Linked DNA regions of Mus musculus. The protein of the gene in region 5 purifies or fractionates together with the protein of the main gene of each other region. This does not show direct contact. Links are inferred from orthologs where the notes say so. Each region holds a gene or a part of one and is shown on either strand. Other genes may lie near its edges. The genes, in order: Ppp6r3, Ppp6r1, Ppp6r2, Ankrd52, Ppp6c, Ankrd44 and Arhgef2.

The links.
Region 1: the proteins of Ppp6c (region 5) and Ppp6r3 purify together in Homo sapiens (affinity purification with mass spectrometry; 10 studies listed by BioGRID and IntAct, with this or other methods). This does not show direct contact. The link is inferred for Mus musculus from reciprocal best matches to the Homo sapiens genes PPP6C and PPP6R3.
Region 2: the proteins of Ppp6c (region 5) and Ppp6r1 purify together in Homo sapiens (affinity purification with mass spectrometry; 11 studies listed by BioGRID and IntAct, with this or other methods). This does not show direct contact. The link is inferred for Mus musculus from reciprocal best matches to the Homo sapiens genes PPP6C and PPP6R1.
Region 3: the proteins of Ppp6c (region 5) and Ppp6r2 purify together in Homo sapiens (affinity purification with mass spectrometry; 9 studies listed by BioGRID and IntAct, counting the BioPlex papers as one, with this or other methods). This does not show direct contact. The link is inferred for Mus musculus from reciprocal best matches to the Homo sapiens genes PPP6C and PPP6R2.
Region 4: the proteins of Ppp6c (region 5) and Ankrd52 purify together in Homo sapiens (affinity purification with mass spectrometry; 6 studies listed by BioGRID and IntAct, with this or other methods). This does not show direct contact. The link is inferred for Mus musculus from reciprocal best matches to the Homo sapiens genes PPP6C and ANKRD52.
Region 6: the proteins of Ppp6c (region 5) and Ankrd44 purify together in Homo sapiens (affinity purification with mass spectrometry; 5 studies listed by BioGRID and IntAct, counting the BioPlex papers as one, with this or other methods). This does not show direct contact. The link is inferred for Mus musculus from reciprocal best matches to the Homo sapiens genes PPP6C and ANKRD44.
Region 7: the proteins of Ppp6c (region 5) and Arhgef2 purify together in Homo sapiens (affinity purification with mass spectrometry; 4 studies listed by BioGRID and IntAct, with this or other methods). This does not show direct contact. The link is inferred for Mus musculus from reciprocal best matches to the Homo sapiens genes PPP6C and ARHGEF2.

Annotation. Positions count from the first base shown.
Region 1 is NC_000085.6:3,471,144-3,474,976, reverse strand, and holds part of Ppp6r3 (serine/threonine-protein phosphatase 6 regulatory subunit 3), read left to right. Parts: intron 1-1,110; coding exon 1,111-1,208; intron 1,209-2,943; coding exon 2,944-2,998; intron 2,999-3,833.
Region 2 is NC_000073.6:4,656,030-4,660,323, reverse strand, and holds the start of Ppp6r1 (serine/threonine-protein phosphatase 6 regulatory subunit 1), read left to right. Parts: upstream 1-1,373; 5' UTR 1,374-1,843; intron 1,844-4,294. UniProt on the Homo sapiens protein: Regulatory subunit of protein phosphatase 6 (PP6). May function as a scaffolding PP6 subunit. Involved in the PP6-mediated dephosphorylation of NFKBIE opposing its degradation in response to TNF-alpha.
Region 3 is NC_000081.6:89,277,280-89,281,112, forward strand, and holds part of Ppp6r2 (serine/threonine-protein phosphatase 6 regulatory subunit 2), read left to right. Parts: coding exon 1-91; exon of another isoform or gene 92-150; intron 151-1,419; coding exon 1,420-1,505; intron 1,506-1,993; coding exon of another isoform or gene 1,994-2,074; intron 2,075-2,440; coding exon 2,441-2,538; intron 2,539-2,727; coding exon 2,728-2,785; intron 2,786-3,079; coding exon 3,080-3,204; intron 3,205-3,475; coding exon 3,476-3,639; intron 3,640-3,833. UniProt on the Homo sapiens protein: Regulatory subunit of protein phosphatase 6 (PP6). May function as a scaffolding PP6 subunit. Involved in the PP6-mediated dephosphorylation of NFKBIE opposing its degradation in response to TNF-alpha.
Region 4 is NC_000076.6:128,375,562-128,380,146, reverse strand, and holds the start of Ankrd52 (serine/threonine-protein phosphatase 6 regulatory ankyrin repeat subunit C), read right to left. Parts: upstream 3,024-4,585; 5' UTR 2,925-3,023; coding exon 2,898-2,924; intron 2,579-2,897; coding exon 2,495-2,578; intron 2,060-2,494; coding exon 1,981-2,059; intron 1,795-1,980; coding exon 1,724-1,794; intron 767-1,723; coding exon 566-766; intron 1-565. UniProt on the Homo sapiens protein: Putative regulatory subunit of protein phosphatase 6 (PP6) that may be involved in the recognition of phosphoprotein substrates.
Region 5 is NC_000068.7:39,223,309-39,227,720, reverse strand, and holds the start of Ppp6c (serine/threonine-protein phosphatase 6 catalytic subunit), read left to right. Parts: upstream 1-1,371; 5' UTR 1,372-1,479; coding exon 1,480-1,554; intron 1,555-1,594; exon of another isoform or gene 1,595-1,913; intron 1,914-4,412.
Region 6 is NC_000067.6:54,657,242-54,661,074, reverse strand, and holds part of Ankrd44 (serine/threonine-protein phosphatase 6 regulatory ankyrin repeat subunit B), read left to right. Parts: coding exon 1-74; intron 75-2,068; coding exon 2,069-2,156; intron 2,157-3,375; coding exon 3,376-3,459; intron 3,460-3,833. UniProt on the Homo sapiens protein: Putative regulatory subunit of protein phosphatase 6 (PP6) that may be involved in the recognition of phosphoprotein substrates.
Region 7 is NC_000069.6:88,627,394-88,631,226, reverse strand, and holds part of Arhgef2 (rho guanine nucleotide exchange factor 2), read right to left. Parts: exon of another isoform or gene 1,703-3,833; coding exon of another isoform or gene 1,664-1,702; intron 1,441-1,663; coding exon 1,296-1,440; intron 1-1,295. UniProt on the Homo sapiens protein: Activates Rho-GTPases by promoting the exchange of GDP for GTP.

The DNA.
Region 1 (3,833 bases), on a different chromosome or scaffold from region 5:
GAAGTTTATTTTTAAATTCACACAGTTTGGATTATCCATGCCATAATTCCCTGCTATGAGAGTTAGTGTGGTGAAGGTGCATGACAGAGGTATTCCTGCAGTGCAGGGCTGGGGCTGTAGGCTTTGAGGAGGTGGGGACCAAGAAGTCTCCTGACTCCATTACATCCTCCTCCTTTGCAGACAGTGGCCTCAAAAGCCCCCATTAGTAAGTGCTGTTCCTAGGGTCCCACTGCTGTCTCTGTCCTTGGCCACATGTAATATTCACAGCGTGGTCCTGTGCTCTATATTCATTGTCTCGGTGAGAGTGAGGACGTGAGGTGGCACTTGATGTCTTTGTAGCGAGGGCATGTTTCCTGATGCCGTAAGTAGACTGGCAGCAGTTCAGTAGGTCCCATATAACATTCCTGTATTTTCCAACTGGGAAGACTCACCCAAGACTGATGGAAATAGAATTGGCCTCTCTGTAGACCTTCCAGTGTCCCGGGTTTTTCTGAGTGATTTCTGAGGAGGTTAAAGCTTCCTGCTCTATCTCTCAGGTAGGTTGTGCAGAAGTCTCTCAGACGGTTCTCAGCCTCCAAGACTTAGGCCAGCATTTCATTTGCAGGATCATGATGATGTCCATCAGTCTTTCTTTCTCTGATGCTACTTTTGCTATGGTGGATGGGCATGGGGAAATGGTGGGGGCTAGGGGGAGGGTGGGAAGTTGGGGGTGGTTAGCACATTATATTTTAGGATACTGTTGGTTGTGTCTGGAGATGATGAGACTTCTGATAATTTCAGACTTACATGTCTCTTACCTCTTCACACTAAGGCTAACTCAGTTCTCTGTCCAAAGACTATAGTAGTCGGCACTTTTTACAGTATGATCTCTTGAATATTTCTTAACAATGTATAGTGGAGCAGTTTGTGTGTCATATTTCAAAAATCCCCCCCTTTGGGGTAAAATGTCTGAAATTATTTGATTTTTCTTTTTCTAAAGAAAAACACACCAACCTTTAAAGTTCCATGGCTGTGTGAGTTAAAGTGGTTTTCTGGAACACAAATGGGCAAATAGTGTATAGAATGTCATTAGAATCATGATGTCACTGTCACTGGTCCTGGGGTTGCCAGGCCTTTTCTGATTATCAGATGCAACAAATGACGTCCAATTTTATTGACCAGTTTGGCTTCAACGATGAGAAGTTTGCAGACCAAGACGACATTGGCAAGTGAGTATATTTTAATATTTCCTTAATGACTTCCCCCACACACTTTGTAATTATATTTGTGGTTCTCCTGTCAGCATGTATTTTGTAGCTTCTCTGAATTGTAGGTCCCACTGTCATTTTCTTGGTGATTGATACAAAACTAAGAGCCAAGGGACCCTGGGTATTGGACAGGGCACTGGACCCTTTCCTAGGGACTTGTGTTTATTAAGTGATCTTTGTTTTTGAGATTAGTCTCACTGTGTTATCCCCTACTGATGTTGGATCTGTGAGCTCAAGCATCCTCCTGTCTTAGCTTGCTAAGTTAGTATATGGTAGGATAGATGCCTGCCATTGCTTCCAACTTAACTTTTTTACAAAGACCCCAGCTACCATTCTGCTCTTCTCAGTATACCATTACTATAAGTGATTCTGTAATTCCTTCCCATGTTTGCCTCCTGGTCAAGGTGTCACTGACTGTCCAGCACATTGTTTAGTACTGCATTCTTGCAGATGATCAGGGCAGCAGGACCAACCAGCCTTGCTTGTATGTGTTCTCTGCTCTGGGGAAGTCCCTATAAGGAAGGAGGTTTGGGTTATTTTACAAAAGCCAAGTACTTTAACCATTGCCCTGCAGTCGGGGTCAGAGGCAGAGAGGGAATTAGAAACTGGCAGAGCAGAGAAAGGAGATGTACAGATGACTGGCAGAATGGAGGACCAGCATCTTGCATCCTGCCTGGGAATGAGAACAACCACCCAATATGAAGATCGTTGGTTATTGAGAGCAGAGGTGAAGGGAAATTTTAAGCCACTGTGATATCTCAGGTAGTGACTGTCCACTGAGGCACCGTAGCAGTAGTTTGCAGCAGGTATTGGACTTGAGCTAGTGTAGAGTGTTTTATTACACATTGAGTTTGGACTCTGGGAAGCTAAAATCTTTTCACAGTGCACTGCATGAACATGCTCTACAGGCAGTCTGGAGCAGAGGCTCTACTGTGAACAGCATGCACTAAGACACCCAGCGACCTCCCTCATTGGCTTATTTCTATCCAGAAAGAAAAACACTATACAAGGCATTTATCTGTTTGCTATGTGAACAATCTACATAGGATCAGAATACACACACACACAGACACACACACAGACCCTCATCCCTACCCCATCTCCTCTTGACATCTTGGATTTTTCCCATCTGGACTCTAGTTTTACTAGTTCAGAATTGACATTCTCTTTTAGAACAAATGCTTAGCCTGATAACTGGTTAGAATGGAGCTTTGATGATTAATAACATTGTCCCACCATTTATAATCATGTAGCTCATCATGGCTGCTTTTACCCATCCCTGTCATGCTTTCAAGGAGGCAGGATGGCAGGATTGCCTGTGTGTTTCATGTACGAATCGGTCCTAGTACCTAACAATGCTTTTGTGCTTTTTCATGTTTGGACTTGATTGTTTGGAAGCTTTTTTCTTGGTTTTGTTGATGTGATCCTTGCAACCATAATTAGCACAGAAGTTAGAAATGTGTTGTTGAAAGGCTGTCACGGCCTCAAAGCATCATCTCCACTGCTCCCATCTCAACTCTTCCCTGTATCCACTCTTTAGTACCAGGGAGGGCACCATTGAATACAGCACGGAGGGTTTGTGCATTACTCACCGAGAGTGCATTGATAATAGAAATACTTGAAATTTTGAGGATTTCAGAGCACTGTTTATAGCCACCTATGGATGACAACAATTCTTCTTATGTTTTCTTTATAGTGTTTCTTTTGATCGGGTGTCAGATATCAACTTTACTCTCAATACAAATGAAAGTGTAAGTATAAACGCTTTCTGTTGTGCTCTGCCACTGGAGAAGTGGAGAATTGTGTTGTGTTGTGTTGTGTGTTGTGTTGTGTTGTGAAAGTGTGAGTATAAACGCTTTCTGTCGTGCTGTGCCTCTGGAGAAGTGGAGAATTGTGCTGAGTGTTGCCGGAGGCTGCAGATGGTTGTCCCGAGCTGTAGGCTCTTTTGCCCTATGGGATCCCACATCCCAGTTATCCTAATGAGTATCATCACATTATGTCTGCCTGGACCTGCAAGTAGGAGTTTGCAACCTTGGCTAATAGGACCCTGCCACTGTGATTGTACCACAGACATTTGGCCTTGGTTTCTCATCTCTGTTGCATGAAAAGAACATAACTTGGGTCAATATCAAGCTCTCTGCCAGGCTTCTCTTACAAACAAGACATTTGTGGCATTTTAATGGGGCCGTTCTGATTTTAGGTTGAATATCATGAGAATCTACTTTTACTTGCTGTTGGTGAGGTAGAATAACTCGTCAGGTTATAGCAGCTCTTTATGACTTCCTGGGCTGGTAACAGGAAGGACCCATGTCATTTCCTTGTTGGTCATATTGAAGACTTATCTTTGATCAAAGAGGAAGCTCAGAATGAAATGGGCAGTCCTGTGAGGAACAAGTGAGCTCATATTCAGGCCTTTTTCATGCTAAATCCAATCTTTCTCAGGAATTTTTTGTTACTTACACAGAAGCTAACATTTTATTTTTATGTTTATGCTTGATTTGGGCATATGTAATAGGTACCATTTTTTGAAAAGCAAATATAAAAACACAATTTTCCCTGGTAATTTGGGAGAGAAAACAGTTCTGA
Region 2 (4,294 bases), on a different chromosome or scaffold from region 5:
TTTAAAAACATATTTGAGTGTATAAAGAGGGGCATGGCCTGTGAATGGAGGTTAGAGGACAGTGTGGGGCATTGATTCTCCCTTTCTCCCATGTGGGTATTGGGATCGAATTTTAAGTTGAGCCAGGTTATGGGCTTGCACAGCAGCCACCTTTGCCCATGAAGCCAGCTCGACATCCTTGAAGTTTTGTGTGAAAGTTAATCTTCATTGCCAAGTTGGCAGGATTTAGAATCACCATGGAAACACATCTCCAGTGTGTGTATGAGTTTCCAGAAAGGTCTAACTGGGGAGAGAAGACCCATCCTGGAATTGGGGGTGGGGTGGGGGGGGGGGGCAGGCTGAACTTAAAGGAGACAGGGAGCAGAGCTAGTGTTCACTTTTAATATGAAGGTGCTCTCTTACACAGAACTCAGTTGATACAAGATCGAACAAAAATTAAAAGCAGCACAGCCCAGGAGAGACAAGACGAAAAAAATTACTGACAGGTGTTAATCTGTGCAAGTCCATTAAAGCCATTTGAGAAGGGGTGGAGAAAAATATCTACATCCCTTGAAAGTCAAAATAATGACTGACGTGAAATGTCCCCGAAATATAAAGTCCTAATCTGCTGTTTTAAAAAAGGAAAACTAATGTTTCTTACATGCATTTATCTAGTCCTTACAGCTGACCTCTAAAACGGGCACGAAGGAGCAGGGGATGAAAGTTGGGGTAAACCGAGGCTCAGCGCTAGAAAAGGCCCTTTAGTGACTGAATCCCGGCGTTAAGGGGTTCCTCCCGGTTGTTACAAGAGGAGGCTTTGTGCAGCAACTGGCAACAGTAGACGCGGCTTGGGCAAATGCCTGAGTAGGAGGTCAGCCAGAAAACCTCGGCAGACGCTTAGGCATCCGGGACGAACCCGACTGAACAAAAGCAACCAGCTTCGCGTGAGGACGAAAAGTTGGAATGGATTTCTTAGGAGTTGACTCGAGTCAAAGAAATATGGTTGAAGGAGTCGGAATAACAATCGGATTTCCGAAGGTAGCTTTCAGGGCGAAAGATCCTAGAACCGAATATTCAGCGGATTTTGGAATGTAGTCACAGAAAACGGGGTTCTGGCTGCAGCAGCGCCTGCGCACTGGGCCCTCTAGGTTTATTCAGGGAGAGAACATTGGCAACCGTGGGCACGGACAGCCGCGGAGTTCCGGAGTGGGCGGGTTCTGGGCGCCAGCGCTCACCGCGCACGCGCCTCGCCAGGCCGACCTAGCGGCCTCTCGCGCACCTGCGCACGGAGAGCGACCACGAGAGGGCGGAGCCTGTCTTCTTGCGTCCTCCCGCGCTCGGGGCATTGTGGGACAGTGGCGGAGGTAGCCCTGCGTCGGAGGCCTTAAGGTGGACGGCTGGGGCCGGGGAGACCCAGCCGCTTCGGGTGACAGTAAAGCCGAGGGGACGGGCGTCGGCTCTCGGTGCAATTCTGCACCCGTCGGGCTGCGGAGGCTTCTTTTTCCTGTCCCGCGGGTGCCGGCGTGTCAGTGTGTAACCCGCGGCGACTTCCCCCGTCGCCCTGCTTCGGAGGCGCCTGCGCGGGCCTCGCGTCGGCCACGGAGCTCTGCGGTGGAACGAGTGCGCCTACTTTTTCGCGACGACCCGAACTCGTCGAAGCTCGGTGGTGAGGCAGGGGATTCCCTGTGACTGGAGGGCGCTTGCGCGGGTTCGCGAGCTCCGGCCCGGGCGCCTGCGCGAGCCCACCGGCGCCGCCCCCGCCCCTCTTAGCCGGCCCCTCGACAGGGCCGGAGCCGCCGGCGGCGGGGCGGCAGGGGCGCCCCGATGAGCCCCGAGTGCGAGGAGCCGCCGCCCCCCCGCGCAGGTGAGCCCCGCAGCTGCCTTCCCGGGCGTGCGCCTTCTAATCCGGAGTCTTTTCCTCAAATCTCCCTGAGCGCCCCTGAGTCTCTTAGTATCCTCCCTTTCACTCCCTAAGTCTTTTAGCCACTTGCCAGTATCATCAAGTCTATTTCCTGTCGCCGGGCCTGTGTCTACTTCGCTGTCATTCCCAGCCCGTCTTCCTCGTCTATTGGGGACCCTCTCTAAGTCTCTTAGACTCTTCTCCCCGCAGCCCCCAGCCCCCATCTCTTCCCACTGGGATCTACATCACCTCCACCTATCATTCTGACTCAGCTCTCTTGGGATTTGGGCCCACTCCCCTGTCCCCCCTGTCGTAGTCTTCCTCCTCTAGGGTGCCTTTCTCTTTCCTTCCTCTTGCCTGCTCTTTTGTGCTCACCTCTGTGTCTACCTACTCTTTTCACTCTCACCAGCCTTCGTGGACTCTTGACCTTTTTGTTTCTCACCCTCTGCTCAGGAAGGCAAGGTTAAACAGGTCTTTTCCTTCGCCTTGGCTGTGGCTGTCCTGTCCCTGTTTGTCCCTAGTTTCCTGTGGTGAGGAGGCACTTTGGAACCACTGTTTGGTGCGCTACTGGGTATTCTGTGAGATGAGGCCCATTGAGGGCAGAACTTGGTTGCTGGGTCCAGGAGGGAGTGGTCAGTGGAAGTCCCTGGTACTTTTATCTACTCAGGGAGCCAAAGGCAGAGCTGGACAGTCACAATTACTGTGTGTTGTGATGGTGGTAACCCAGGGTGCTGTGGCAGCAGGCCGCAGAGTGGGAGAGACTGGTGAGACCGGCCGGATGGGTGACTTTTCTGTCGAGGAAGGCTGAGTGGGAGTTAACAGATGGAGAGTGGGAAGAAGAGCTTTCCAGGTGGAAGAAACACCGCGTGCAAATATGTGAAGGTGGGAACACTGAGGGAGCCAGGATGGAGTGGGTTGAAGTGTTAAGAGGGCAAGGGTGGAATGGCTTGGCTGGAGCTGCTGTCCAGGGCCTTAAGTGACCTGGTTGGTAGTCCTTTTCCCCCCTCCCTTCGGTGGTGGTACTAGGGCTCAACTCCCAGTTTTCCTGCCACGGAGCAAGCATTCTACCACCGACTGAGCTACACATAGCCTGAGCCTCTCCTATTGCTTTTAAACTATGAGGCAGTATCTTGCAAATTTTTTTAGGCTTGCTTTGAACTCTGAAGAGCTGGTGGGCTATTGACGCACAATCGTCTAATCTCAGTTTTCTAAGTACCTGGGATTAATGTTTATGTTGCCAGTCCAAGGGAGTTATGGTCTTGACCACTCCTTATATACTGAGGCAATTGTACTGAGGATGTATTACCTGGAGGCAAGATGTTTCTGGAAAGGAAGCTGCACTGTATGACAAATGTGGTACTGGGTTGAGGGTTGTAAAACTGCCACAGAGTTGCTTCCATCTTAAAGGAGAAGTTCTGTCAGACTCAAGGCCAGTGTTGCAGGGACTGGATTGCTTCAACAACACAGTATGAGTTGTTTCTATGTGCATTCTGCACAGCTAATGTGGACAGTTCACACGAGAGCACTTGCTGTGTTCTGCCACATGCACTTGGAGTTATCTTGTGCTCTTTGAAATGTTTCTCCTGTGGGTTTTTTGTTATTTATTTTCCTGGTAACCTTTGCCTAATGCAAATCATTTTGCCCAAATTCAGTGACTCTACTCTAGTTTTAGGGTTGGTATAATGAGGAATTACCTAGAGCAAGAGTTTTTGTGAGTTAGACTTAGTTTGAGTCCTGGTGCTTGCCTTTCCTAGTGGTGAGTCCTTGGAAAAGTTAGGCAAGTGTTCAGTACCTGTTTCTCCTCTATAAGTGGGCTAATAGGAGGGCTGTCTGTGTAAAGTGGTTCAGGATATTGAGTGCAATGTTTGTAGATGCCTATCAGAATGCAAGGCACACAGCAAGTATATCGAATCAGTATCTCTTAGGATTATCATCTGATTTTTGATAATATATCCCAGTAGTTCTCATTGGGTATGATATGTCCTCTCGGAGACATTTGGCAATGCTTGGAGACCCTATGGTTGTCAAAACTGTAGGAGTAGAGAAAGTAAGCTTCCCACGTTTAGTGTATATATCCCACCCAGGGATGCTATTGATTGTCTTCTAATGCACAGAGCAGCCACTCACCACAAATAGCTATGTAGTCTCAGCTTCTATTGATGCCAGTAGAGAAACACTGCTACTCTGCTATTTTGCTTAAGTATCTTATGTGCTTTGAGCTTCTGTGTGGTGTAGGAGCTGTTGTGTTTTTTCCTTTACATGCATCCTCTTTGGTTGTTTGCTTTTGTTGGGTCATGTGGCATCTTTTTTTTTTTTTTTTTTCCATTGAAGGAAAACAGTCTTGTCTCCCCGCCCCTCTTTTCTACTTTGGGATCTCTGGCCAAGTGACCTTCAGAGATCACTTTCTCTTCTCTG
Region 3 (3,833 bases), on a different chromosome or scaffold from region 5:
AATATGGGCCACCTCACAAGGATCGCCAATGCAGTTGTACAGAACCTGGAGCAGGGCCCGGTGCAGGCCCACATCAGTGAAGTCATCCGAGGTGTGCCCACTACGCTCCCTTCCCTCTGCCCTCTGTCCTCAGGAGTGACAACTACACTGGTATAGTCAAACCATGCAGCCTTCTTTGTCATCTTCTCAGGGTAGGCTGGGTGTCCTGTTCATGGAGCAGAGATCTGAGTATAGGAGACTCAGCCTGCCAAGGACAGTTCATGACTCAGTGCTGGGCCTCGAAACTGTGAGCTTCTCACCAAGCTCTCTTGTACTCACGGGCTTTCCAGAGCTGTGCCTGTACTAGAGGTCCTGACTCACCTTCCTGTCTTGTTTCCATCTCACACTATTTAGAGGGCCTTCCTAGTTTTCATATCAGGAGGCCATGAGTGTAGGTGATATTCTGTCCCCTAGAAGTAGGTTGTGGGCAGCAAGGCCTGAAACCCTGAACTCTATGCCCCAAGCAAAAGAGCAGAGCTTCTCCCCTCAGACATGACGCCTACTGCCCTGAGCAGTTCCCTTATGCAATACCTCCCCAACAAGTATGAGTTAAGGAAGCTCCACGTGGTCCTCCCCATGACCCAGGACCAGAGGAATTGTTTTCTTTGTGGTATCTTGGAGGCCACTTGCCTGTCCACCTTCTTCCTAGGTATACTGCAACAGTGGTGAAGTTGAGCTTGCTGGTCCATCATCACTCATGATGAGTGGGCAGCAGGGCAGAACAGTGAACAAGCTGAGGTGGCTCCCTTGTTGCTAGAAGGGAAAAAGAAATGGGCTTGGAGCCCAGTTTAGGGAGGTGAGGGGTGAGCAGAAGGTTCTTGTTTCCAGTTAGGCCCAGGTTCTAGTTTCCCACACTCCAGGCCTAGGAGTGCAGTAGGAAGGTGCTCACTTCCTCAGACCCTTAGGGTAGACATATGTACCAGCAGGTAGTTTCAGACCAGGCCTGCTGGCATAAACTATTAATCCCAGTACTCTGGAGGCAGAGATAGGCAGATCTTTAGGAGTTTGAGGCCTGCCTGGTCTACATACTGAGTTCCAGGACAGCCAGAGTTACATGGTTTCACCATGTCTCAAAAAACATAAAACAACAGAACTCTCATGCCCGATACGGTCTCTGTAGAACAAGCTGAACATTGCCCTGCTCAGAGTTGTTGTAGCCTAAGGCCCTGGAGGACATTAACCCTCCCCCTTTGCTGTATAGGCTTATTTCCTATCAGCAGCCCCTGTTTGTCTTGAGTGGACTGATCGTAGAAGCATAACTTGTCCCTCTCTGGACCAGCCCTTGCCTGCTAGGGCTCCTGAGTGCCCTACCCTTGGGACTCATAAGTCCCACACTTATGAGGGTACTCACAGGACTTATGAGTAGCACTTACTTTGCAGGGCTCCCTGCAGATTGCCGTGGACGCTGGGAGAGCTTTGTGGAAGAGACATTGATGGAGACCAACCGCAGGAACACTGTGGACCTGGTGAGGAAGCTGGGGCTCCTTCCATGGTGACCATTGGCAGTCCCATATGTACCACTCTGCAGCACAGGGCGAGGAGGAATGCGCAAGGGCAGGACTGGACATTTAGTTCAGCCTCTGGCCTGCAGTCTGTTACATACCCTTGCTATGTCGCAGCAGAGCTGGCTCCCTGAGGATCTCTTTGCAAAGCTAGTGCTTTCTTGATCTCCACCCTCCAGAGCTATGGCTTATTTGTGAAGGACTCTGCTTAGTTCCCAGGGCATTACCTGGACCAGGGAGGCTGGGCTCTCTTTCAGGAGGCTTTGGCCTCAGTTGGCATTTCCTTGCAGTGAGCTGCACAGGCCTACAGGTGTCAGGGGATTGGTGGTGTGGGAGGGTATCGGGGAGGGGGAGACTCAGGCTGGGCTGGGCGGGACCTGGGGCTCTGGCTGGAATGGACTGGGTGGGGTCTGGCTAGCTCACATGCCCACCCCATCTGGCCTGTGTTTTAGGTGAGCACTCACCACCTTCACTCCTCAAGTGAGGACGAGGACATTGAGGGGACTTTCCCTAACGAGCTGTCCCTTCAGCAGGTGAGGGCATGGCCGGCACTCTGCACCCTGCCGGGCCCTTCTGGAGCCTGTGTCCTTGGTAGTGCTTAGTTGCCGTGACATTGCATAGAAAAGAGAGAAGTAACTCATCTCCGAGCGCATCTGGGGAGAGGGGGCTGGGCGAGTACCCCAAAGTCACGTTACCGTGGTGAGAGAGACCTGGGGACAGTAAGCTTGGAGGCCGACTGAGGAGGTGCTCTCTGTATGCAACTGCTCAACCACTGTGAGCAGTCAACCTCTGCGAAAATCCACTGCCTGCTTCCTAAGAGGCTCCTGAGCAATGGAGTGGGTTCCAAGGAGCAGCCACCAGGCGACAACTTGTTCCATAGCTGTACCCTCTCCTCCCAGGCCTTCTCTGAGTACCAGATCCAGCAGATGACAGCAAACTTTGTGGATCAGTTTGGCTTCAATGATGAGGAGTTTGCAGACCAGGATGACAACATCAAGTGAGTACAGCCACCATGAAGGCTCCGGCTCTAGGCTAGCACTGCCCTAAGCAACAGCACCATAGAAGCAGCTCCAAGTGATCTTGGCAGGAATGAGGTCCACTGTCCCTGAGGAGATAGCAAGCCCTACTACCCGAGGGCCCAGGCCTGCTGGAGCAGAGGCGGTACTGAGGGACCTTGTTCTTGCAGCGCCCCATTTGACCGGATTGCAGAGATCAACTTCAACATTGAAGCCGATGAGGACAGTGTGAGTGATGGGGGCCGCTGCAGGGCTGCAGGGCATAGCAGCATTTTATTACACTGCTCAGATAGTTCACAGTGTCCACAACTTGGTCCTTGTCACAGGTGGATGGAACCATGGGGCCCTGGCCAGTATATTTGTGTGTCAGGACTGGGAGGCTCCCCTCTATGGGAGTTGAGAGCCGAGCTTCCCTCCTTGCCTCCTCCCACACTGTCTGTCGGCCATGTTCTGTGAGCTAGCCCCTCTGGAGTTCTTTGGGACCAGATTCTCCAGAAAACAGCTCTGCATTCTGTCTTACAGCCCAGTGCAGCTCTGTTTGAAGCCTGTTGCAGTGATCGGATCCAGCCCTTTGATGATGATGAAGAGGAGGACATTTGGGAAGATGACGAGACTCGATGCGCTGCCCGGGTGATGGCCAGAGCCAGGTGTGGGTTCACTCATCCTCCCAAAGCCCCCACCAGCGGGGAGCAGGCAAGATTAAGCGCTGGGTATTCAGCCACTGTTAAAAGTGCTCAGACACCTAGAGGGGCAGTGGCCCTTCTTGCAGAAACCAGAGCAGACCTGGGAGCCAAGCAGTGCTTATTCTAGACACCCCGTACTCAACCCTGGTCCCAATTCCTGAGCCATCACAGGTTCTCCAGCATTGGGCATCTAACCAAGGCTCACCAAACATCTGCTACCTTTATGTCTGCCCAGGTTTGGAGCCCCTCATGTCTCAGATAATTACTCAAAGAATGCTTTGGAACATGGAGGCCAGGACAGGAAGACTGGCTCAGCAGTAGCTAGGAATGTGCCTGGATTGGCCGCTCCTTCATCTCCTACACAGAAAGAAGGTCCTCGCTCAGAGAGTGATTCAGCAGGTAGTACCTGAAGACTGTACAAGGGACATGGGTACTGAGGACAGGGTGTGGTGACTTGGCTGAGGGACCCCCTTTGAGCCACTGTTTTTCCAGCAGTTGATTTCCTAGTTCCCCATCTACACATGGTTTCATGAAATGTTTTGGGAGGTCTGGCCACCACGGGTTCTGCTGTGCACTGAATCGAGCCAGGTGTT
Region 4 (4,585 bases), on a different chromosome or scaffold from region 5:
AGTCTATAACAGTGTCACTTGGGCAGGACAACTATCAGGATTAATTGGGCTACAAAGTAAGTTCAAGGCTATTTAAGGTAAAATGTATACAGGTGAACAGTCTATCGCTTGCCTACCATTGCCAACACTAGAACAAAAGAATTTCAATCTATGGGTTCAAAGTGTAGCTCAGTGACACAGCCTTTACCAAGCACCTGTAACACACTGCTTAAAATAAATATAAAATAAATCAATAAAAACTCAATATAAGCTGTGGATGCTAGCGTACCTTTAACCTGAGCACTCAGAAAGCAGAGGCAGGGGGATCTCAGTGAGTTCAAGTTCAAGGCTGTCTACATAGCAAGCTCCAGGCCAGACAAGCATGCATAGTGAGACTCTATCTCAAAAACAAACATCCCCCCCCCCCCAACAAAACCCTCTGGTTAACACAATCATTCCTCTGGGGCAGGGCCCCAGTATCTAAATAACTATCTGAGCCACTCCTGCCCATTGGGTCTGGAAGCACGTAAGTTATGGGTGAGAAGGAACAGAGAGAAGACTGTGTCTAGACTGCAATGCTCCTCACCTCAAGATGCCCACTGTGTACTGCATGGTGTAGAGCGCTGCGCCCGCTCCTGTCAGCCACATTGAGACTGCTCAACAGGGGTGCCAGAGCCTCTGCACACTTGGTGGCCCGGTTGGCAGCAGCCACATGCAGTGGTGTCTGCCACAGCTTGTCCCGGGCATTCACATCCGCTGAGTGTGCCAACAGCAGCCCCAGCACCTTCTGTGGTGGAGCAAGGGACAAGAGAAGACAGAGGGGAGCAGGAAGTGACATAAGAGGACAGAAGGAAGGGGCTGGTATGGTGACTAGTCATCCATCTTCCTAGCATGGTATCTCTTCCTTTCCTTTACACACCTAGCCTCTCCAGACCTGAGGTTGTTGGAGCTTAAACATCTTTGTTTTGCTGAGGAAAACAGGGATCTCTTCCCCATGCCACTTAGCATCTACCACCCTCCAACTTAGGTCCCCGAAAATCTCCACTCACACCCACCCTGGGCAAATCCACACACCCCAAGCCTAATTCCAGGAAAAACAAATGGCTCCCACTGTATTAATGGCAAAAACATCCTTTCCCTTAGCCCTTCCACAGACACCAAAATCATATAACCCCAATAAACAAGCATAACTGGATCCCCTTCGAAATTCAATGTTCCCGTTAAACATGTCCCACACCATTCCCACTGGCCTTAAGCTCTCTCCCCCTGGGAGCTGGAGCCAAGGAAGTGATGGGAGATCAAAGAGGCCTTCCCTTCCTCTTCAGGGTTGATAACACCATTGTACAGGACTCCATATGAGTTTGGGCCCTTAGGCAGTCAACTTAAATGTTGCTCGAGGGGCAAGGACACAGAATTGCTACTCCCCACCCCATCACAAGGAGAGAAATCTCAGTGCCCAGAGGGGGATCAGACTTAAGGTGGCCCCCAGGGAGGGATGAGTCACTCAGGCCTGGCAGCAGGGCCCCCGCAGTCTGCCAGCCCAGTGTTAAGCTCTCTCCCTGACGTCACATCAGCTGGCAGCACTCAGCCCCCCCCCCCCCAGCCAGTTCTAGGGGCAGGAAGGAGAAGCCAAACTCTGGTCTCCTCCCTGTGTGGGGCAGAAGAGTCTGTAGGGCAGAGAACTGAGTTTCTCTAGCCCTCAGCCCATCCTTTTTGAAAGGGAGAAATGAGGTAGGGTCTGTACCTCGTTTCGGGAGGCAGCGGCACGATGAAGAGGGGTCAGCCACAGTGTGTCCTTAGCGTTGACGTTAGCACCTGTGTGGACACAATTTGCTATTTTGTTGGGATTTGAGGAGGGGGAGGGAAGGAAACCAATAATCAGAGTGGGGAACCTGAACGGACAGAAAGCCATTCTTGTACCAAGCACCAGCAATCAATCCTCGGATCTAAAAAGACTTCTCCCCTCCCTAGATGCCGCACCTCCCAGCTCCCCACTTTCACCTGACATCAGTAGCAACTGGAGGATGGGGACATCGCCTACGTAGGCAGCAGCATGCAATGGGGTTCGCCTCTCTTGGTCCTGGAAAGGCAGAAAAGAGAAGCAGCTGTAGAGAGAAATTATCCTGAACGCCAGTTCTAGTATGAGAACTCCAAGCCCTTCCCTTCCTCTAGGTTCTTCTGCAGGGTCTTAAATCCCAATATCGGGCTTCAAAAGCCAGCATCCTGGGAGGGTGGAGTCAGGGCTACCGACCAAGAAACCTACTCCTTCCCGGAGGGGTGGGGGCGCTGCAGACCCCGATGGTTGAGAAGGGGACAGGGTTTTCTGGGCATCCCCAGAACCCATGATCGGTGCTCCATGCCTGACCAACCTTAAATGCGGAGCAGGCTCCCATTTCTGGGTAGAAAGAGCTGCAGTTTCATCAGAGCAGAGGAGAAACGGAGCCGCCCCACTTGTGGGGAGGGGTCCCGAACCCCTCCGGATTCCGGCTCGCCATCCTCCCTGCTCCCAACTCACCAGTACATTGATGTTCTCCTTCTGCGAGAGGAGGGAACGCACTTCCTCCACATCTCGGCTAAAGATGGCCTGGACCAGGGGCGGCTGCAGGGAGAACCAGCTTTCAGGGAGCGGGCCCGAGCCACGGCGTTACCAGGAGGTGGGGGAGCACACAGGTTGGAGGGGGGCGTCGCTGGAGGGGCTCCGCTACAGGGGTCCTGGCTGCAGCGGATTCCCGCCGTGCCCCCACCGGTCGCCAGGCCCCCAAGGACACCCGCTCCACGGAGTGGAGCACGGCGTGGGGCGCGGCGGGAGCCGCGGGAACCCCGGGCTCGGGCCCAGCCTAGGCCGCACATCCCCGGGCTCGCGTGGCGGCGGTGCCGGGGCCTGGGAAGAGGAAGTGGGGAAGGGTGGGAGGGCTGACCTGGTCCGTGATGCTGAGGATCCCCATGGCCCGGCCCAGGCTCCGTCCGCATCGAGCTCGCGGCAGCGGCGGCAGCGGCGGCGGCGGCTCCACCGGGGACACGGGGCGGCCCAGGCGGCGGCTGCGGCGGCGGCTGCGGGGAGAGGGCGGCCCCGCCTACCGGGGGGCGGGCGAGCGGGAGCCCGCAGCGCTCCCTGGCGGCGAGCCTTGGCCGGGCCTCGGGGTGCTCGCTGTCCGCGCAGGCTGCCCAGGCCTCGGCGCCCTCGCCCCGCGCCAGGACGGCCAGGGCGGCCCGGGCTCCCCCTACCCCGCGCGCGGGTTCCGCAGCTCCGCCAGCGGACCGCGCTGTGCCCTCCGTTGCAGTCGGGCGGCCCGAGGGGTCTCTCGCAGGCCCATGGCACGGAGTCGGGTCTCGCTCCCCCAGTGACTCCCGAGCCCAGGACCAAACAGCGGGCGAGAGCTCACCCAGCCCACAATGCTCCGGTAGAGCGGACGCCTCCGACCGTACTCACACCCCCAAGTACCCCAGAGATAGTGGAAACTCGGAGTGTGGCGACCCGAGACTTATAGATGGCCCCAGAACCAGTCTCCACTGGGTAGAAAGAAAATAGCAAGATTGCTAAGCTGCAGAAAAATCTCAAAAGACTCCTGCTTCAGGAAGCCTCCGTGAAGAGCTGGACACTTGGCAGCTGAAGAAAGGCCTCTAAGCCCAACAGCAACTCCATAATTACCCTGCCAGATTAGGGTAGTAACTGTTTCTCCCGGTAAAAAGGCAGTAGAGAGGAACTCCCCCTCACCCATTGGAGAGGTCAAAAGAGGCAGCCAATCAGGGACAGTTGGCCGAGGGAGAAAGAAAAGTGGAGACTGATAGATGGGTACAATTTATAAAAGATGCTTTAGAGCCAGGTGTGAATCATTTATAAGATTCCTGCGCTCTGGAACCTGAAGCAGGAGGATTGTGTATTCAAGAACTGTCCTGGCTACATCATGAGCCCCAGTTCCTTTGTGTTGCTACGATAACAATGACCAAACCAACTAAAAGAAGGAAAGGGTTTAGTCCATCTTTGAGAAAACTTAGGGCAGAAACTCAGACTTGAACTTGAACGAAGAACCCAGGGAGGAATGAACCCAGGCTCAAGCTTAACCAGATCTCTTATCTAATTTAGGGCCACCTGACTAGGGATGGTACTACCCACAGTGGACCGGGTCTGCCTATATCCATTAGCCAACAAGAAAGTGTTGGGCCTGGGCAGGTGGTTCAGCTAGTTAACGAGCATTGACCACTCTTCCAAAGGGCCCAAGTTTAATCCCCAGCAGCCACTTAGCAACTAATAGCGGATTGTAACTCCAACTGCAGAAATTTTTGGTGGGTAAAACATTCATACGTGAGATTTAAAAAAAAAAAAAGTAGTTTATAAGTTAAATTGAAAAGAAATCACTCTGTCTCAAATCTCACCGCCAAACAACAACAACAACAACAATAATAATATATAATAATAAGGGCTGGAGAGATGGCTCAGCAGGTAAGAGCACTGACACTGACTGCTCTTCCAAAGGTCCTGAGTTCAAATTCCAGCAACCACATGGTGGCTCACAACCATCTGTAGTGAGATCTGACGACCTCTTCTGGTGTGTCTGAAGACAGCTACAGTGTACTTAGAAAAAAAAGAAAAAAAAATATATATAAT
Region 5 (4,412 bases):
AAAAGCTCCAAATAAGCTTAGAAATGCATCAGATATCTTCCATACAACTTCCCACCTTCCCAACTTTGCTGTGTTTTTGTTGTTGTTGTGTTTTTTTTTTTTTTTTTGAGACAAGGTCTTCTGGTTGACCTGCAACATGCTACATAGACTAGGCTATCCTAGAACTCACAGTTATCCAGCTGCCTCATCACTGCTGTGGTCAAATATGTGGTACACTATGGTCAGGTTAATTCTGAATCCTGTGTCAACCCATCCTCCTTACTATGCTGGAATGTTTTCCTTAAATTATCACTTTCTAACATGCTCTGAGTAATTTATTATATTTGTCGGTTATCTCTAACAGAATTAAATTGCAAGTTGAGGACAGATTTTTTAATACATTATTTTTTATTATTTTATTTATTTTGACTGCAAATATATTTCTGTACCACATGCACACAGTGCCCAGAAGAAGGTGTCTGATCTCCCGTAACTGGACTTGAAAGCAGCCACGTAGATGCTAGTAATAGAACTTGGATCCTCTGGAAGAACAGCTAGTGCTCTTAACTAATGAGCACTCTTTCCAGCCCCAAGGATAGAGATTTTTGTCTATTGCAGCCATTGGTTATTCTAACTGCCTATAAGTGTATCTGTACTTTGTTGCTATTCAATATAGAGTTGTCAAATGGACCAATGTTAAAGCTATAGTAGGTGTCAAGAACTGTTCTTGGCACTGGGATACGACAAAAAAAAAAAAAAAACCTTTCCGGCCCCCTCCTGGAACTCACCGGATTAAGTCAGTAGCCTGTTTTTCAGTCTAGGATCCATCTTTTCTGTTTCCTTTGAGATTTTGGGGCAAATAACACATGCAAACTTTGCATTCTTACAGTCTTACAAGAATTGAACAGGAGAAAAAAAAAGTGCCAGTATTTGTACAGAATGTGGCATAAGAAATGCTTTATTGTTTGTTTCTTCCCCCACCCACCACCCACCCCACCCCCCAGCCAGAGAACCGGTGGTGTTAAGTTTGTTTCAAATGTTGTCTAGGCCAGGTCTTCAGTAGTCCTGGAAAGGCGGTAACAGTAACTCTTAACTTTAACTGAAGATACTTTACAGGGTAGGAGTGAGAGCCAGGGAATTCTTAGTTAACCACTTCATGGTCTTCCTTAGAAAAAGCCTCATTTGAGGTGAAGTCTGTTGCCAAGGATAGGAAAGGAAGAGCATTTTACTAAAACTACAAATCCCAGCACGCCCCGCGGCAGAGAGCTACGGGTCCCAGTAGGTTTTATCAAAAGGACCTCCGGGTTCTCTTGGAGATAGATCCGTGGCCCGGAATTCCGCCTGAGAGAGAGAGCGGAACGGGTCAGGCTTTTACGTCGCTTCGCAGACGCCACTCACGGATCGGACGTGACGTAAGGAGGGTTCCGGATTCGGCCTCCGCCGCTGCCTCCGCTACTACAGCCGCTGCCGCTGCTGTCGCCGCGGCTTGTTCTTCCTAAAATGGCGCCGCTGGATCTGGACAAGTATGTGGAGATAGCGCGGCAGTGCAAGTACCTTCCCGAGAACGACCTGAAGGTGAGCCGGGCCGGAGGCCGTCCAGCTTGCGAGGCAAGCCCCTTCCGGCTGCGGGGCTCCCGCCGGCCCGCCCTTCTCCCTCGGCGGGATCCCTACCGGGCGCCCGATCCTGGCGCGGCGGAGGGCGCTCCGCGGTGCGAGAGGACCGGGTCCGAGGCGGCGTGACGCGGAGAACCAGGGGAGCCCGGATCCCCCGAATGCTGTCCAGTTCTTTGAGGGGAGATCCCGGGGGATGTCACGATCCCCTGACCCTCACGGGACTCCGAGCTTAAAGACTCTCACTCTAACTCGCTCGGCCTCCCGGAGACGGAGCCGGGCCGAGCGGGTAGTGCTCCCGGGATGGGGTCCTCCCAGCAGAGGTAACAGGAGCCGCTGTCTGCTCCAGGGACGCGGCCGCGGTGTGTTTAAGTCCCTGAGAGGTGGAAGCCGGTGGGCGGGATCGATGCGACCATAATGGGAGAGAATGACAAGTCGCCTCAGCTTCACCACTCCCCTAAATTGCTTCTTAGGAGTGGTAGTTTTCTTCTGATGATTTGGATGTGGATCTCATTTCTTAGCCCGTTGTTGAGCTATTTAAGTGAATAAGCAGTTGCTTATCAATAAGTTCAAATGTTTTTATGACCTCTGAGCTGTTCCCCTGTAACTCAAGGTGTCGTTTTCTTGGTTTTCCAAAGGAGGTCTTACTCAGTTCAGGCTAAGTTAATGCAGTAAAGAAGTAAGCCGTTGGTGTACCACTGTTATCAACCGTATTTTGTTTCTGCAAAAACTAGTGCTTAGGACCACGTTGGTGTTTATCCGATGGTTGCTAATGTCTGTTTTATTCCGTTAACTTTGATTTGCTATGTAGTCAGTCACTCTCGATCATTTGAATTTTTTTTTCATGCTGTTTTTGTAATATTTTTAAGCCACAGGCTTAAAACAATTTTTTCAAGAAAAAAATTGCCTTTTTCCTAACGAATTTTATTTCTCTTGTGAAGATTTTGCTCTGTGTCTGTTTTCTTGTCTCATCTAGTACATGAAGTTTATATTTAAATCAGCCAACAAGTATGCAAAATGTTTAAGACCTCAAGTGTTGGTTGTGTGAAAGTACATAGCTTGTAACTTACATACTGACTGCCTGTGTTACATGATTGGTGTTCATATTCAGCCACCTGAATCAGGCATTTGCCTTGTCTTCCTGCTTGGTAATTTTGTTTTGTCTTGTTTTTGCTTTCTTCCTGAGATAAGATCTTAATATAGTTCTTGCTGGGGCTGGAGAGATATCTCAATGGTTAAGAGCACTTGGCTGCTCTTCCAGAGGACCTGGAAATTCTGTTCCCAGCAAGGGCATGATAGTTTGTAACATCCTGTCACTCCAGTTCCAAGGAATCTGATGCCCTCTTCTGGTCTTCATAGGCACCAGGTACACATGTGTTCCACAGACATGTGTGCAAGCAAAGCAGCCATACACATAAAATAAAAACAAATCTTTAAAAAAAGTTCATGGTGGCCTCCAACCCAGTATGTACCTGAGGATGGCCTTGAACTCCTGACCCTCTTGCTTCTACTTCCCAACTGCTGGACCCTAACCAACATGCCTGGCTTTTTCTTTCCGTTCCTTTTTTTTTTTTTTTAATAAGATTTATTTTTAATTAGTTGGGGGGGGGCGGTTATGTGCACATTTTGCCTTTGTAAGCCAGGGGCACCAGGTCACCTGGAGCTGGAGGTACAGGCAGTTGTGAACCAAAAGATGTGGGTGATAGAAACTGAACTCGGGTCCTCTGTACAATCTTAACTGAGGAGCAATCTCTCCAGATCTTAGATATAGATATTTTGATACAGGGCATCATGTAGCCCAAGCTTGCCTTAAACCCCTGGTTCTCCGGCTTCCACCTTAATAGTGGTTTGTTTTATTTTATTGTGGTGTGAGGGTTGAGCTGAATTTTTTAAAAGATTTAGTTGTTTTTTATTTATGTAGATGTATGTGTACCTGTGTGAATTTATGTGCCCCATGTGTATGCTGGTGCTGGCAGAGGCAGAGAGCAATCCTAGGCTCCTGAAGTTGGATTTATAGGTGGTTTGAGCTACCTGATATTTGTGCTGGGAATTGAACCTGAGTCTTCTGCAAGAGCACTAAACTCTTTAAATTGCTGAGCCTGTTGTGTGCTTTTTAAATTAATTAAGTAATTATTTTGCTTTGTTTATCGAAACAGGGTTTCTCTGTGTAGCCCTGGGTCAAAGTCACTATAGGCATGGCTGGCCTTGAACTCAGAGATCCTCCATGTGTCTTTGGGATATGGGTATATGAGTGCAGATGCCTTCAAAGCCAGAGGCATTAGAGGCTGTAGTTACAAGCTGGAGGCTCTCTGAAGCTGTAGTTACAAGCAGTTATAAGCAGCCTGGCATGAGTGCTGGGAATAGAGTGTAGGTCCTCTGCAAAAGAATCATATGTGCTTTTAACTGCTGTGTCATTTCTCCAGCCCCACATTTATCTGTTTCTTACTAGACTGCCCCACTCCCCTAGTTTTTTGATTAACTACTGGGGAAGAAAATCTAAATTTTCTGTATATCCTTCAAAAAAATTGTTTCCTATCCTGGAAACAGTTCTATCAGATTAATTTGCTTGTGCAGCCAGTCTCTGATATAGTTTCTATTTGCTTGGTTGCTTATTTGTTGAGACCGGCTTTTGTTGAGGTTTGGTCTGTTGCTGTGTGTTGTAATTCTGTGTCCTAAGCTCTAGTCACCTCAACACGGATGAATTATCAATATGGCAGCTTTCTTTTGTGTGCAAAACTTGCTCCTTAATTTAAAATTATCAGTTGAATAAAGATGCCTACTGCCTGTAGCTGAGCAAAAGAGAGGTAGGTGGAGCTTCAGTT
Region 6 (3,833 bases), on a different chromosome or scaffold from region 5:
TGCCCTTTCTGAAGAAGACTGCTGTCTCAAAGACAACCAGGGATACACGCCACTGCACTGGGCGTGTTACAATGGTGAGTCGAATGTCATCTGAGTCGAATGTCATCTGAGTAGAATGTCATATACTAGACTTTCTAGCCTCGCACCTCTGTGACCTCAGTGGAGGTGAGAACACTGCTGTATGCTGTGGTTACTGGTGTCTGCACCCAGACACTGGTGTCTGTCTTATGTTGTTTTAAACATCCCTCATCCCCACCCCTGTGGCTGTCATGATGCTGAGTAAGGTTTAGTTTGTTTCCCTCTTCCTGTGACACCTCATCAGAGTCGCCAATGGACTTGAGCAACTGTAATCAGAGTTTCTGATCTGCACCAGATAACCAGGAACCACATGAAGTATTAAAACAATGACGGTAAAAACAAAACAGCATACAGTATAGTTCACATACAGTAGAGTCACTCATAAACGCTAGTAGATGTGTAGTTTAGATTTTGGTATTTTTTTTTAATATCCACATTCCACATTTGCTTTGTTGTGTGTGCTACTTGGAATATTCAAATTTTTTATCTCAGTTATTTGGAACAAAAGAGAAATGTGTGCTAATTGTATGCATGTCTCATAATTTTTCCTCTGAGATTATAAATAAAAAATATGCATATTCTTTAAGTGGAATTATACCACAAGTCTCATCCCATAGTTTTCTTCCTTTTTTCTTAGTGCTCCCTTAAAATCCTACTGCAGGCTATCCTTAGATACCATATGCACAATACATAGTTTTAATAGTAATATACTGATAGCTACACACATGCACACCTGCATGCACACTCACACACATACATTCACGTGCATGCACATTCCTTAGAACTTGCTTATTCAACCCGATCCCCCTCTGATGGACTTTTAGGTTAATTTTAGGGTTTCTTTCCTACCATAAACACTGTAGCAGTGCATATTCATATTATAACATGAAAATCTCATTAAATATCCAGAAGTGAATTTTTTAAATAAAAGGCATGTTTTTAGAATTTTAAGGAATAATATTTTGTACAAAAGGTTGCCCTAATGTGATAAAAGTATTTTTGCTACAACTTTGCCAGCCCAGTGTGATTGTATTTCTTTATTTTTGGTAACTTTTTCTTGGTTAAGTTTGCATCTCATAATATAATTTATTGGCTATAGTTCCCTTTCTGAATGTGGCCTTTCACCCATGCCTGCTTTCTCATGGTGAACCGCTTACCTCTTCCCTTGCATCTGTAAGAGCAGGGTGCCTTGGCTATGTGGCTCTTCTGTATTGTGTGTTGGGAGTGTCTCTGTTCCTTGTTTTGAATGCCTTTTGCCATGCAAATGTTTTGAAGTTTTGTGTGGTTGAATCTATTTTGTGGTATCTCCATAATCAGCCTTACGAAGACCTCTTACCCCCTAAGAGAATGGATATCTCATATGAATATTTCTAACTCTACTTCTGCAACTTTATATTTGCATTTCAGTTCCACTAGGATTTTTAGTTTGGAAATTGTGATTATGTTTTCTGGGAAGAGTTTCTGTGCTCAATTACATTGAGTTAAAACTACCTGTGTTTTCATTAGTCTTCGCATTCATTGGTTCTGCCTTAATAAAAACTTATTTTTGCTCTTATCCTACCATTGGCCAGCTGTAAATTTTTTACCTAAAATAATATTTTAACCTGCAACTTGTGAGCTCTCTCTGGCAAGGGAGAAACCACAACAGGAAAGGAAAGGGTGTGGAAGGGTGCTGAATCTGAGGGCAGACACAGGCTGGTCACACAGACTGCATCCTCTCCCTGGGGTTCGGCTTCTTTCTCTCTCCCCACCAGGCCATATGGCATTCACTGTTTGATTTCTTCATTATATCTCAGAACACCTGTGAGCATAGTTAATAACATTTTAGCGTTTTGTTTTATTCTACAGAGAACAAACATTGAACTCAACACTTAATGGGGAATTAAAACCAAACCAAATCAAACAAGACAACAACAAACAAACAACAAACCACCATGACCAAAGTTTGTTTCTTTCTTGTGAGCTCTCTAAATGTGTTTATTCCTTGCAGGTAATGAAAACTGCATAGAGGTACTTTTGGAGCAAAAATGTTTTCGAAAATTTATTGGTAATCCCTTCACTCCACTGCACTGTGCAATGTAAGTAGAAACTCTCGAAAGGCAACGCGGCCACTTCTGTTCCTTTAACTTCATGTGGAAAAGGTGTCTTTTTACAGGTGGAGAAAGCATTTAGATTACAGATAAGACTAATATATTCTATTCTGCTGCTAAAGACAAATAGGCCTGCTAGCCAAGCATGCAACTCGTGTTAATGATTTTCCAGAGGCTACATTTCCAAGGTGACTCATGTACCACATGAGGAAACTGAAGGTGGTGGCCTGAGAGGCATGGTTTACAGATGTAAAGAGATCTTCAGCAGTAGCCTCCATCACCCCCCAAACTCTGAAAAATAAGTCAAGGTTGATAGTAATATGTCTGTAACTGGTTAGAAATTTTCTACCAGGAAAACGTTTCCTATAATTCTTGATCTTCATCCTCGTCATTCTCCTCCCCCCCCCCCATTCTCCTCCTCCTCTCCTCCTCCTTTTCCTTCTCTTCCTCCTTTTCAAATTTAATTGTTATTGCAAGTTCATAAAGAGAACTTGTTGTTCAGAGAATGCAGTGACCTTAAGTCGGAGTTCTGAGAGTCAGCCTGGGATGCAAGGCTTGAAAGTGCCTTGTCTTTACATTGTCTGTGGGCTTTGCATGAAGCTGGGTCATTTGACTAGAAGTACAGTAGAGGCATGAAATCAAATCAGTACAGAAAGAGTAGGTAAGAAAGAATCAGAGTGACTTTAGGGGCTGGAAAGATAGATCAGTAATTAAGAGTACTTGCTGCTCTTGCAGAAGACCCAGATTTGGTTCCCAGCACCCACACTGTGGCTAACAGCCATCCATACCAGTTTCATAGGATCTAGTGCCCTCCTCTGGCATCCTCCAGCACTAGGTACACATGCAGTGCCCATGTATACATGCAGGAAAAACACTGACACACATAAAATCAAAATGAACAAACCTTTAAAGTACTAACCAGGATGATTTCATGTGTGAAGGATCTGTCTTTTCCACTTTGGTGTCTGGATGTCACCTACTTGGGACCTCATGGGAGTGGTGTTCCAGAGTCTCTTACAGACACAGAGGCCCTTAATGGAATCAGTGGAGGGGGTCAGTGTACACTATTGTAGCTTGGCTCAAAGCTTGGCATCAGATTTCTAAAAATAGATCAAATTGTTGAGTATGCAATGCTTGTAAAGATGAGGTATGAAGGACTATATAATTTTAATGAGGTTTTTAATACTGAACTCTATTTTCATTTTAGAATAAATGGTCACGAGAGCTGTGCATCATTGCTCCTGGGGGCCATAGATCCCAGCATTGTCAGCTGCAGGGATGACAAAGGCAGGTAAGCAATGCAAGCTGTCATATTCTTGGTCCTGAGTCTCAGCCTTTGTTTTTGAATTTTGAATAGTAAACCATTTGCTTTCAATTTTATATAAACTTACTTTTGGTAGTCCTGAGGATTGAATTCAGGGCCTTAGACAAGCCAAAAAGTACCACTGAGCTACAACCCCAGCCCTTAGTGTTTAGAGTCTTGCTGTGTAGCTCAGGCTGGCCTTGAACTAGCTATGAAGCCCAGGCTAGCCTCAAACTCATAATCTTCCTCACTGTATACATGCACAATCCTTGGCCAAAAGAAAATATTTTTTAATTGAAAAAGTAAGGCATAGTATGTGTCTTAGTCAGGGATTCTATTCCTGCACAAACATCATGCCCAAG
Region 7 (3,833 bases), on a different chromosome or scaffold from region 5:
GGAAAAAGGAGTAGCTGAACTAGCTGAGCCTGCACTCGGGACCATGGCTGTTCCCTTCCTGACAGGCCCTCAGCTCTACAGCTCCCCCCACCCCACCCCCAAACACCACAGGAAACTCTGCTAACTCAGGCAGACAATGCCCAACACCACGCTCACTTCCACAAATACAAGGCACACAGGGTGGGGCAGAAGGGGCCGACAGAAGCCAGGCTGTGGCAGTGCCCACCCCCTGGAGCTCCCTTCCCCTACCCACAACACCTAGTGTCTCTGAATCGAGCCCCCGCTTTCCACCTGCTCTCAAAATAGTGCTACCCACCTCCCCAGTTCCCCTGGCAACAAGCTTCCGGATTGAGTATTTTGCCAGGTCTCTAGAGGGATCTAGATTGGGGTTACCTCCTCATCCTTTTGGCTCTAGATCAAGTGGTAAAGAAGTGGGGGGGGCAGGCCTCTCTGGTTCTTTTTGAGGGGGGTAGGCCTCCCTGGTTCTATCTGGGATTCCTTTCCAACATCCCAAAGGGATTAGGAGGCTAGAGTGGAGTTGTGTTGGTCAGTATCAAGGTACAACACTCGAGTCTACTCCAGGGAAGGCATGGGGATGGGGGTGGGGGTGGGGGTGGGGCAGGGCGGAGCTAGAGCCCTCTGCAATGGTATCCTAAGGAGGTCGGAATTCCTCTGTCTCCTTCCTGGGGCAGGATAAAGGTTAGACATGGGCAAGATTAGGAGTTTTGAGCCCTTCCCTCCATCATTCAGGTCTCTGCTGAATTTCTTTATCAGGGATAAAGAAATGGATAATCCCAGCCTGTCCTTGAATCTGCAGACTTCTTTTCCCTCACATGCAACAGAAAGGCAGGGGCAAGGAGTCCTCGCGTCTAAGCTGTCCAGGGAGATGGGCAGAGGCAGCTGCAGGCTGGCAGCTTCCCTCCGCTCCCTACTCCTCTCCCACCCTGCATTATAACACACATTCCTGCTCATTCTCCAGGCAGTTCTCCGAACTGTCAGCAGCTGTTCAAGAGGCGAGGGGGATACCCAAGCCAGCGACAGCTGCATGGAGAGTAACAACAGCCTCTGTCACCCCACACCCAAGAGACCAACCAGCTTACGCCACATTCCAATAGCCACCACCCAGTGTGGGCAAGGGTGGCAGGAGACCAAGCACCTGAGCATGACACTTGAGCCCGGCTGGGATCCGGAAAATAGAGTCCTTTAAAGGATCCAGGGTGGGAAGGACAGACGGACGGGAGAACTAGAGGTCGATGGCAACTGAGGCTAGGTCACCTTTGGGACCAAAAACTTACTAGGACAAATGAGGGCTTCCTTGGCTGTGATGCTCTTGTTACAGGCATAGCACATGGTCATGCCGGAGACGGAGATGGTGGTGAAGAGGTGGCCGTTGGTATAGCGGGCATCTTTAGCTTCCTTCATCTTCTCCTTTTCCCGGGTCTGTGGAAAGATTGAGAGACAGAAGTGAGGTCAGAAGACACTCAGTCAGGTACCTGGCGTCCAGATAAACAGCAGAGGCATGGGAGAAATGCCTGCCTAGAGAGGCTGAAGTGACAGCAATTGCTAAAGCATAACCCACTATGCACGGGTGTCCGAGGTGGCTGTCCAGGCATGACCAGGCCCTGGGTAGTCAGTCCCTGAGGCTTCGAGGCCTCTGACCTACCTGACCCCGGCGACTGGGCTGCCTCCTGTTCCCACTCATCTCCCTAGCTCTAGAGCTCTGCGTCCTCACTCCACCTTCCAGCCTTAGCTCTGCTCGCCCCCGGGCTGCTGTACGATTTCTCTGTGCCGGGGGAAGATGCGCAGAGAGAGGGGAGGACCAGTGAAGCAGAGGGTGCCAGCTCACCAGCGCTTTCCAATCTATGGGAGTTAGCTCCTCTCATAACCATGACAACGGGTGTTGGAGCTGCTGTCTTCAGAGCAGTCATGGGGGAGCAGGGATGGCAAAGCAGGAGATTCCCCTATTAGATTGGCTGGGGGTGGGGGCCAGGATGCCTCTTCAGACACCATCAACTCAGAGGCCAGGATCCGAACCCTCTAACTCTTCTACTTACACTCAGTCAAAGCCCAAAAGAGATCCCTCACTAGCAGAGTGTGTGTGTGTGTGTGTGTGTGTGTGTGTGTGTGTGTACGTACAGAGGTGGGGGCTCAGTACCCAAGAAACCCTGTGAACTCCAGATCACAGCGCTAGGCCTGCAGCACTCTTGAGTACCTTCTTACCCCGAGGTCTATGTTTACCTTTGCCTTTAAGCTTCCCCTACCTCCTCCAGCTTCTGTCAGAGTCCTTGACTTCTTTACTGTTCCTCCCCAAGCTCCAAGAGCCAGAAAAGGTGAAAAGACAATGTCAGCTGTGGTAGCCCATGCCTGTTAACTCCTGACTAAGACAGGAAGACTAAGACTATTGCAGCAAGCCTGGGCTACTGAACAACTGTCTCAAAACAACAACAACAACAACAACGTGTATGTGCATGCGCACACACTCATGCACAAACAGCACTGAGGTGGAGGCAGGAAGCTTGGGAGTTCAAGGACATCCTTGGCTATATAGTGATATGAGGCCCTATCTCAAAACACCACCACTACGATCAAAAACAAAACACAACACAAAACAAACAGGTTAGAAGACAGCTTAAAAGAAAAGCAAAGGCACCCGATGACCCTGGTCGATTCCCAGGTCCCACACGGCAGAAGAACAAACTGACACCCACGTCCAAACCATGGCACGGAACCAATAAGTCAGAAAAGGCAGGATAAATGGAACAGTGGGGCACGGCTTTAATCCCAGCACTGGGGAGGAGAGGCAGGCCGATCTCTGAGTCTGAGGCCACACTAGCCTACGTAGCAAATTCCAAGCCAGTCAGAATGTCACAGTGAGACCCTGTATCTAAAGTAATTAGTTAAGTTAATTAATTAAAGATGTTAGAGGACAAGCCAGGCAGGAGTGAAGCTCGTCTTTAAACCTAGCATTTGGGGCTGGAGAGACGGCTCGGCGGTTAGGAGCACTGACTGCTTTTCCAAAGGTCCTGAGTTCAAATCCCAGCAACCACATGGTGGCTCACAACCATCTGTAATGAGATCTGACACCCTTCTCTGTTCTCTGGTCTGTCTGAAAACAGCTACAGTGTACTTACATATAACAATAAATAAATCTTTAAAAAAAAAAAAAACTAGCATTTGGGTGGCAGAGTCTCGCAAATCTCAGACTTCGAGGGCAGCCTGGTCTACATAGTAAGTTCCAGGAGAGGAAAGCCAGAGCTGCACAGAGAAACCTTATCTCTAAGGGGGAAAAAATGTTAGGAGACAAGGACATCATTCAGGTGACTGGGGCTGAGAGTAGGAGCCCCAAGTTGAGGACACTGGCTGGGACCCTAGGACAAAAAGTCACAATTCAGTGAAAAGCATTCAGCCTGGGCCTGGATGAGCAGTCCTGCCTACGCCACTAACCATGCTGGCAGTTAGAGGGGAGGATGGGAAAAGGGGAAGCAGAAAGGTGCTGAGTCAACTGTCCAGGGGCTGGAGAGCAGTGGACCACAGAGCCCTGGGCCTTGGGGTGGCCAAAGAGCAATGGACCAGAGAGCCCTGGGCCTTGGGGTGGCCTGAGGATGATGGAGCCCAGTGGTCTAGACAGAGATCACCTCCTTATGTCCCCCCTTCACTTTACCACCTCCGCCATACATTTTTCCTTTCTCCCCTAACTATACTGTTGGGGTTTCATTTGGTAACTTTTTGATTTATTTTGTTTTGAGTCAGGGTCTCACTATGAAGCCCTGTCTAGCCTTGAACTAAAGGTAATCCTCCTGCCTCAGTCACCAAAGTTCAGGACTTGCAGGCGT